2 linked regions of the Solanum lycopersicum genome follow. The main gene of each other region encodes a partner of the protein of the gene in region 2 in a complex. Links are inferred from orthologs where the notes say so. Each region holds a gene or a part of one and is shown on either strand. Other genes may lie near its edges.

Region 1 (4,379 bases), on a different chromosome or scaffold from region 2:
TTTCTTTTAAATCTTATATTCATATTAAGAATATTAGCAAATTTTAATTTTGAAATTAGATACAAATTTATCATACGTAAACTTAAAATTCAAACTCTACCTCTCATAATAAATTTGGTATATAAATAAACTTGTGTATTATCACAATACGACATTACTAACTATACTTTTGGATTTCAATATTGAAGTTTTTTTTTTCCAAATTAAATAGTAGTATTTAAATAGCAAAGGAGAAGATATGGTTGAGGTGAATGAAGACTAAAAGAAGCAGCGATCCGAATTGTGATGTAATGATGAAACTGTTTTAATCTTAATCAGAAGTTTTTAGTTTTAATTACAGATATGAAGAAAATTTATTTGGAAGTGCCAACCCTTTGAAAGAGCCCTGTGATACATGGTCTAAATTTAATCAGAGCTTTAATATAAATTGTGATGCCGAACGAGAAATAATAATTATAAGAAAAAGTAGAAGCACATGATTACATACTAAGATATTTAATAATGAATAGTAGTAATAATTGATGCATGAAATTAATGGTTGTGCCTTGTTTTGACCAGACAATGCAACGGGTGAGTAGGACCAGCCCACATCAAGGGGCTTTAGTTCTATCTGTGTTTTTTGGTCCTACTAGGAATGGAAATAAAATTAACAAAATAATCCAATCAATTTTTAGGAAAAAATATATTTTTAATGTGCGAAAATTAAAGTATTAGAAAAAATATTTCGAAGGTAAAGGATATAAATAGTCATTTTTAGAATTATCACTGTGTAAAGAATAGTAGAAATTTTAAGATTTGACCACCTATAAGTCAAACATCAGAGTTTTGATTTTGATTATGGATATAGAGTTTCAAATTTGAGTGTGAGTTTAAATAACCAGAGATTAACTTCAAAGGACATTACTCCATAGTAAGTTGATAAAAACAAAACTTAAATGGGAAAATCTTAGTAACTCGGTTCAATGACTATTCGAATTTTCGTGTAGATACAATTTTCCATCTCACAATCTCCTCCCTATTTTCTTTTTTCCTACCCCCATTTTTTAAAAAAAAATAGAAGAAGAAAAACAAACTTAAATTTTCTAATTTATGAGTTGTTGTATGACATAAAAAACATTAGACTTCAATTGATAATATATCAACCAAGAAATAAAGTGTAGTTAATGAATTAAAGACAAATAGGTTGAACTTCAACCATTTACATATGAAATTAGGCTTAATTAGCTTTCAACTTTATGACATTTGGACCAAAAGCGATAAAGACCGTCAAATCTAATTCTAAACTAACATCTGAAGTTTGAATTGTAGTTTAATATTCAAAAATGATGAAGATTGTTAAATATAATTTTAAACTCAAACATCTGAAGTTTGAACTGTAATACAATATGTCAATCTCGTATATATAGGTTCGTAGTTAGACTCGAAAAATCAAACTTTAGACTCAAAACTTTCAACTTTAATCTCGTAAATTTGAATTTTTAATTTCGATATAGCTTTAAGATTCTTAAAAATTTGGGCTATTTGTGCACTTGCCCCTTAGCTTAGTTGATTTCAGCCCAAAATTTAATGGGCCAAAGCCCATGAAGATTGATATCTGAAGCCCAAATCCCTTTGTTCCAAAATCTGGTAATCCTAGACTTCTCACAGTGGTGCCGTCTTCCGCCGTCTGCCACCGTATACCGCCGCCTACCTCACCGTCTTCATTTTCCAAACGCCATCCATGGGAAGCATCAGTGCTTTGCATTATCTGAAACCAACAAGAACTGCCAATGGTACATCCTTGTTCAATTTCAGTAAAAATCGCATTTCCCGATTACCAGTGGCTTTTCGAAGCTACACCGTGAAATCGAGTGTTCTAGAACCTCCAGATGTTCCACGTTTGGCTGAAACTGCTCGAATTTCACTCAATCCACAAGAAATTGAAGAATTCGCTCCCAAAATTAGACAAGTTGTAGATTGGTTTGGACAACTTCAAGCTGTTGATTTACAGAGTATTGAGCCAGCGATTAGAGCAAATACTGAAGGAGATAATTTGCGTGGAGACGTACCGGAGAAGTTTGAGAATAGAGAAGAATTGATTTCTGCTGTGCCAAGCTTTGAGGACCCTTACATCAAAGTTCCCAAAGTCCTCAATAAGGAGTGACGTTGTTTAGGTACTTTTCATTTCATCACTCCATTTTTCTTTCCAAGATGTATTTTGATGCAATGTATAATTGTTTGGATCAGCTTGCATGCAACTCGATTAATTATGAGCTAATTTGAAAAAACCCGATCGAATTGTGCTATTGAAACTTCTTAACTTAGCAAAGTATTTCATATATGGTCGCAAATTGGATTTACCTACTTTGATTTGCTATACTCGAGTCGAGTGGAGGGTCTTTAGAAAGATTTTTTCTACCTTGTGAGACTCTACTGAATATGTTATTGTTATTGTTATCGTGATTAGAATTTTGATATGTTATTTAGTTGTTAGTAGGCATTGCTTATGTATGGGGGTAAGAATTCACGATAGCTATTTTCAAGTGATCATCCATACATTAACACTTGAAATATTAAAAATTGAAGCAAATGCATGAGATATCGTTGATCATTGTTTAAGGCTTTGCATCTCAGTTTGGTCATTTAAAGTCTCAAGAAGAAAAGGCGGGGGCGTATTGAGCAGTTCCTTGATGCTCCTCTGAATCTTGACAAAATGAAAGTATTATGGTTTCAATTGACATCTCCACAACTGCAAAGAAGAGAGTTGTCGCGACTTATCCAAGACACCATCACTCCTGCATTAGAAATAGGAATCAACCTTAGAGATACAAAAGAAAAGTTAGCCTCAAAGAGGTTTCATTATCCAGCTTCGAAACTCATAGTGGATGATTTATGCGTTCTATTTTTACCCTTCTCCATTAATACCAGAGAGACTTCACTAATCGTGATTTTAACTCTTTGTCATGTTATATGTTATACACCTCTAGTAAGGGGATCATTATCATGGGTCGGAAAGAGTCGTGTCCTAAGAAGTGTTCACCATCTCTGAAGGTTAACTAGTTATTTTAGAGCTGGTTTGGCCTAGCGGTTTAAAACTGCTTGTTGGCCAACCATCGCAAATTTCCAAAAAGGTGTTTCTTTCTCCCAAAAAGTAATTTGGGCTTCCAAACCGCTTGGCCAAACTGGCTCTTAGATGTCCTCCCATTCAAAGTTGATCTTGAAGACCCAAAACTCCCGGAGTTGGTTAAGTGTTATTTTCTTGCTGGTAAGCATTCAATTTTGGTAATCGTACAACTGTCAGTTGAATACGATTGCTAGAGCTTGAAAGTATCCTATCCTCACAGTTATCAATCTAAGTTGTCAGGCTACAGAACCTCATGCTTGAATCTTTTCAAGTGAATCATGTTCCTCATAAGTTATCAAGCTACAACACCTTGTGCACGTCCTTTAAGTCAAAACAGTGTCCATATTCATGGAAACACACTCATTTGAATCTCTCAACCATCAGCACAAGTACTCATCAAGTGATTTTTTCGAGCAGTTCTACTCTATGATACTATTGTGGAAGTTATATAGGTCTTCACTCTCTTTATAGCTCTCTATGTTGCATCATTTGAAGTGGTAATAGAAACTCCTCAAATTATCTGTGCTATTTGTTAGTTCTTAGTTCTGTGAAGTTGAAAGTTTACATCTGCTTAAATGGAAAATCCCATCCAAAAGAAATAGACTACAACTAGTTAGACAGATCAGGTGATTCAAGAAGTCCATATCAAAGCAGGAGAGTAGCCAAACTCAGTACTTGACTGGAGAACCACTATCACTTTCCAATCATACAATTTTATTATAGTTGTTGCCTGGTTTAGTCCCGTTTAGTTACTTTTACATTGCCAGGAGGCTGTTGGAGCGTTATGTCCAACATATCCTCCCTTCATCTGTACTGTTCCATGCTCATTAGCCAATGTCCAACATTCACACTGTTTCATGCTCATTAGCGTAATGTCAACACCCTCTCTTCATCTGTACAGTTCCATGCTCATTTTGGTAATGAAATCAAGTCTATTTACCAGACTGATACACACAGCTTTCCAAAGGAGAATAACATTGCCATTGACATTCACCTTCCCAATCCAAAGAATGTTACTGATAAATGTGATCAGTTGGAATCTCAGAAGACTTTGAACAGCCCTTTCCAGTTATCGCTATATCTGCAAAGCATCACAAGCACTATCATCTTGAAATTTGAAGCCATTAGAGATGGGAGAGGAGAGAATGTTCAAGAATTAACATAAATCAATTCGATTACAATTTTACGAGTTGAATTTAGTACTGGTAGTTTCGTTTTTCTTTCTCTACTTATATGAATATAGTCCATATTATTACAAAAGCAAAATTCTCTTCAA
Region 2 (3,318 bases):
GATAAATAAAAATGATCGAAAAAAGTAATAACTATTAATTGTAGATATTGTCTTTTCCTTTTCAATTCTTACCTAATCGTGAGATGATTTCGAAAGGGAAAAAAGAAAGTTATAATCTAAGAGTGGGCGTTCGATATTTGATTTGATATTTTAAAATTTTTGATAATCGTAATTTGATAATTAGGTAATTGATAAATCAAATTTTAATTTGACATGATATTCGATAACATCGTATTAAAGTTGTAGTTAATTATATTACAATGTTAATACTCTTGTTCAAATTATTTCTATTTTTCTGCGTCGAGATACAATATAATAGAACATCAACACAAGTAATAAGATAACAAGAAAAATAATTGACACAAGTAAAAATAAAAAAAACATATGTATTTAGGTTGTTTATGTTTAGTCTTTTAACTACTTTTTTTTTTTTACTTTATACGAGTAATAGACCTGTTGATATATGACCTTCATTAAGTAAATAATTTCGAAAAAAATACCGAATATCAAGTAGTACTAATATCTCATATCAAACCAAATTTTTTTCATCAAATGAGCATCAAGGGCAAAAACTTGAAATCAACTTTGCAGAAAATAAAGATGACAAATGTATACATCAAAGTTTTCAAAATTGATGCATGCTAATTTACAAAAAGAATTTGCTTGCAATAAGCTACAAGTATCTCAGATATTGAGAGTTCTTATGAATTTTCGATTGGCGCGTATCTTTACACGCCAATCCTACAAAAAAAATCCAGCACAAGAAAGTTTTCTGAACGTAACGATTCGTTTGGAAACAGTGGCACGAGCCTGGAAGGATTGGTGGATCATTTGATACTAGATAGACGAACCTGTCGTCTTCTTGTCAGCACAGAGCTTTGCACCATGGCGCTATTTTGCAGTCACTTTGCGTGAAATCGTTGCATTGATTAACTGGAACATAACTGCGCGCAAGAATTCACGACTAGCATCCCAATTCATCAGCAACTAGAGGAGGAATAAAAGAGCAGCCTTGCAGTGTCTGCTCAAAGATATGGCCTACTTTAAGCAATTTCTCCTGCATTCATTTTAGTACGCGTAAAATATGACGAACTTTTAGATGCATACAAGCAAGCATGCTAAAAGAAAAGCAAGAAGTGAAGGCATATAAGTAGTTCATTTTGGAGAGTCCGAGCAACATAGCTCAGAACCGTGTGAGATAAGGTTCAAAATGGTTATAAAAGTCTAAACTACTAGGTGTTTTTATTTCTTTTCTAATCATATTCTACTTCTTCAGGTTTGCTTGCATTAAACTTGAGCATTTATGCTTTCATAGTATCCACACTTTTCATCTCTACGGTCGTACAAAAAGTGAATGTATTCAATACATCTATTTAAGAAGCTCAAGTTCAACTCGGTTACATTTTCAAGCGAAGTAAGTATGTTATCCCTCTTTTACCGACCTTTTCAACTTTCTCAAAAGAGAGATCTAGATAACATGAACTATCCCCGTGCTCAAATATCATTCTTAACACTGGAATATCAACTGGAAATAGTTGGAGTACTGAAACTCACCTCTTCAAATGCAGCACTAATCATCTGAACACCAACGGGAAGGGCCACAGAACTGCTATCAACAAATCCACACGGGAGAACTAATGCTGGAAGACCAGCCAAGTTCACATTGACCTGCCAATAATGAAAATAATCATTAATTGAAGAGAACATAAACTAGACTGAACAAGTTACGTCATCATCTGACTAGAGGGGTTAAAATAGGAAAAAAAACTACTTACAGTCATAATATCACCAGCATACATTGACAACGGATCGTTCTTCTTTTCACCTGTAAATTCCACATGTCGTAGTGAGAGTTAGTGTTGCCTTTCAAGGGAAGGGGATCATGGGACAAAAAGAAAAGAAAACAAAAATGTATTTAAGCAAGATCGAAAAGTAGTTTCATCAGTAAATGCAAAAGGTAAAAGAAGTGTACCAATTTTGTAAGCTGCTGATGGTGCAGCAGGAGAAATCAAAATATCGTTCTCATCTAATGCTGCCCTGAAGCTTTCCCTTACCAAAGTCCTGACCTGGAACAGAGTCACTCTTTAACATCTTGAAGAATTAAGATAAGCAAGAAATTATCGAACACTTGTAAATTGGGGTCATATAACTCGTTAAAATATGAATTATTGCTAGATGATGAGAGTAGCAAAAAGTCTACTAGATGCGTCAACCAAACGTAGTTGGTTCTAACTGCCATGTAGACACATGATCTAAACTCCACTTGACAAATATTTTGGATCCACAAATTCACGGTTAGAGACACAATGAATAACTAACATGAAGATTGTCTTGTGTAAGCATTTATTCAGAGATACAGAAGAGAATCATTAAAGTGATTGAATATTACTTAGTTCTGATTGGATTATATTAGTATCAATTATCTTTAGATGCATGAGTATATCAAGAAAGTGATTGCATTTTAAACTTTAATTGCTATGTGGAGTTGGACTATTCTGAGCACATAGATGTACAACCTGCTGGGCTCGCTTGTAATATGCATCATAATAACCAGCAGACAGAGCATATGTCCCCATTAGGATTCTCATTTTCACCTGTAAAGACATTTAATACATTTAGTCCAATAGTTCTTTTTGACTGTGTGTTGGCGGGCCAGCTTGCATGAAAAGATTACGAGAAAGAAAGGTAGGAGACCCCTTTTAGAAGTAACCACTACAGAACTACATCACACAGAAAAGTTCTTTTCCTTAGTACCTCAGCACCTAAGCCTCCGGCACGAGATTCCCCATAAAGGGAGTTCAACTCATCAGCAAAAACTTGTTTCCCATACCTGCATTTTTGACATCACATTATTCCTTGGGTCTTAATCAAAAAATTTGAGCAAACATTGACAGGTTTGTCATTACTAGTGTAAGGCAGTCTCCCCAATTACATCTTGTCTAAATTATGGTTGCGTATCCACGTATTTGAAATGGCAATGAATTCTTAGTTCTTGCGACTAGTATGGAGTAATTAAAGTAATATATCCGTTTGAACTCATCATGGGCACTCCTAACTACTTTCTATTCTCTTTAAATGGTAGAATTAACAAGAACGAACTTAGTTATCCTCCTTCAATTTGGCAACCAAAACTGAGGGTTAGGGCTGATGAAACCTAAGAAATATCAGAACTGAAGATCGTACTGCTGTTATGTACTTATATTATTTTTATAACGATAACAACATATTCATCAGCATAGAAGCTATGATGGTAGCCAAATTTACTATAGATCCAAAGATATCTATCCTCTCTATCGGTATGTTAATATTTTCTCCGAG

The links. The genes of interacting proteins can lie anywhere in the genome.
Region 1: glutamyl-tRNA(Gln) amidotransferase subunit A, chloroplastic/mitochondrial (region 2) and glutamyl-tRNA(Gln) amidotransferase subunit C, chloroplastic/mitochondrial share a complex: the UniProt entries of both Arabidopsis thaliana proteins name them as parts of the heterotrimeric GatCAB amidotransferase (AdT) complex. The link is inferred for Solanum lycopersicum from reciprocal best matches to the Arabidopsis thaliana genes AT3G25660 and AT4G32915.

The regions. Positions count from the first base shown.
Region 1 is NC_090806.1:68,144,443-68,148,821, forward strand, and holds the start of glutamyl-tRNA(Gln) amidotransferase subunit C, chloroplastic/mitochondrial, read left to right. Parts: upstream 1-1,553; 5' UTR 1,554-1,720; coding exon 1,721-2,143; 3' UTR 2,144-2,153; intron 2,154-4,004; 3' UTR 4,005-4,379. UniProt on the Arabidopsis thaliana protein: Allows the formation of correctly charged Gln-tRNA(Gln) through the transamidation of misacylated Glu-tRNA(Gln) in chloroplasts and mitochondria. The reaction takes place in the presence of glutamine and ATP through an activated gamma-phospho-Glu-tRNA(Gln).
Region 2 is NC_090809.1:2,322,272-2,325,589, forward strand, and holds the end of glutamyl-tRNA(Gln) amidotransferase subunit A, chloroplastic/mitochondrial, read right to left. Parts: intron 2,831-3,318; coding exon 2,755-2,830; intron 2,595-2,754; coding exon 2,517-2,594; intron 2,067-2,516; coding exon 1,973-2,066; intron 1,826-1,972; coding exon 1,776-1,825; intron 1,669-1,775; coding exon 1,555-1,668; intron 1,058-1,554; coding exon 965-1,057; 3' UTR 560-964; downstream 1-559. UniProt on the Arabidopsis thaliana protein: Allows the formation of correctly charged Gln-tRNA(Gln) through the transamidation of misacylated Glu-tRNA(Gln) in chloroplasts and mitochondria. The reaction takes place in the presence of glutamine and ATP through an activated gamma-phospho-Glu-tRNA(Gln).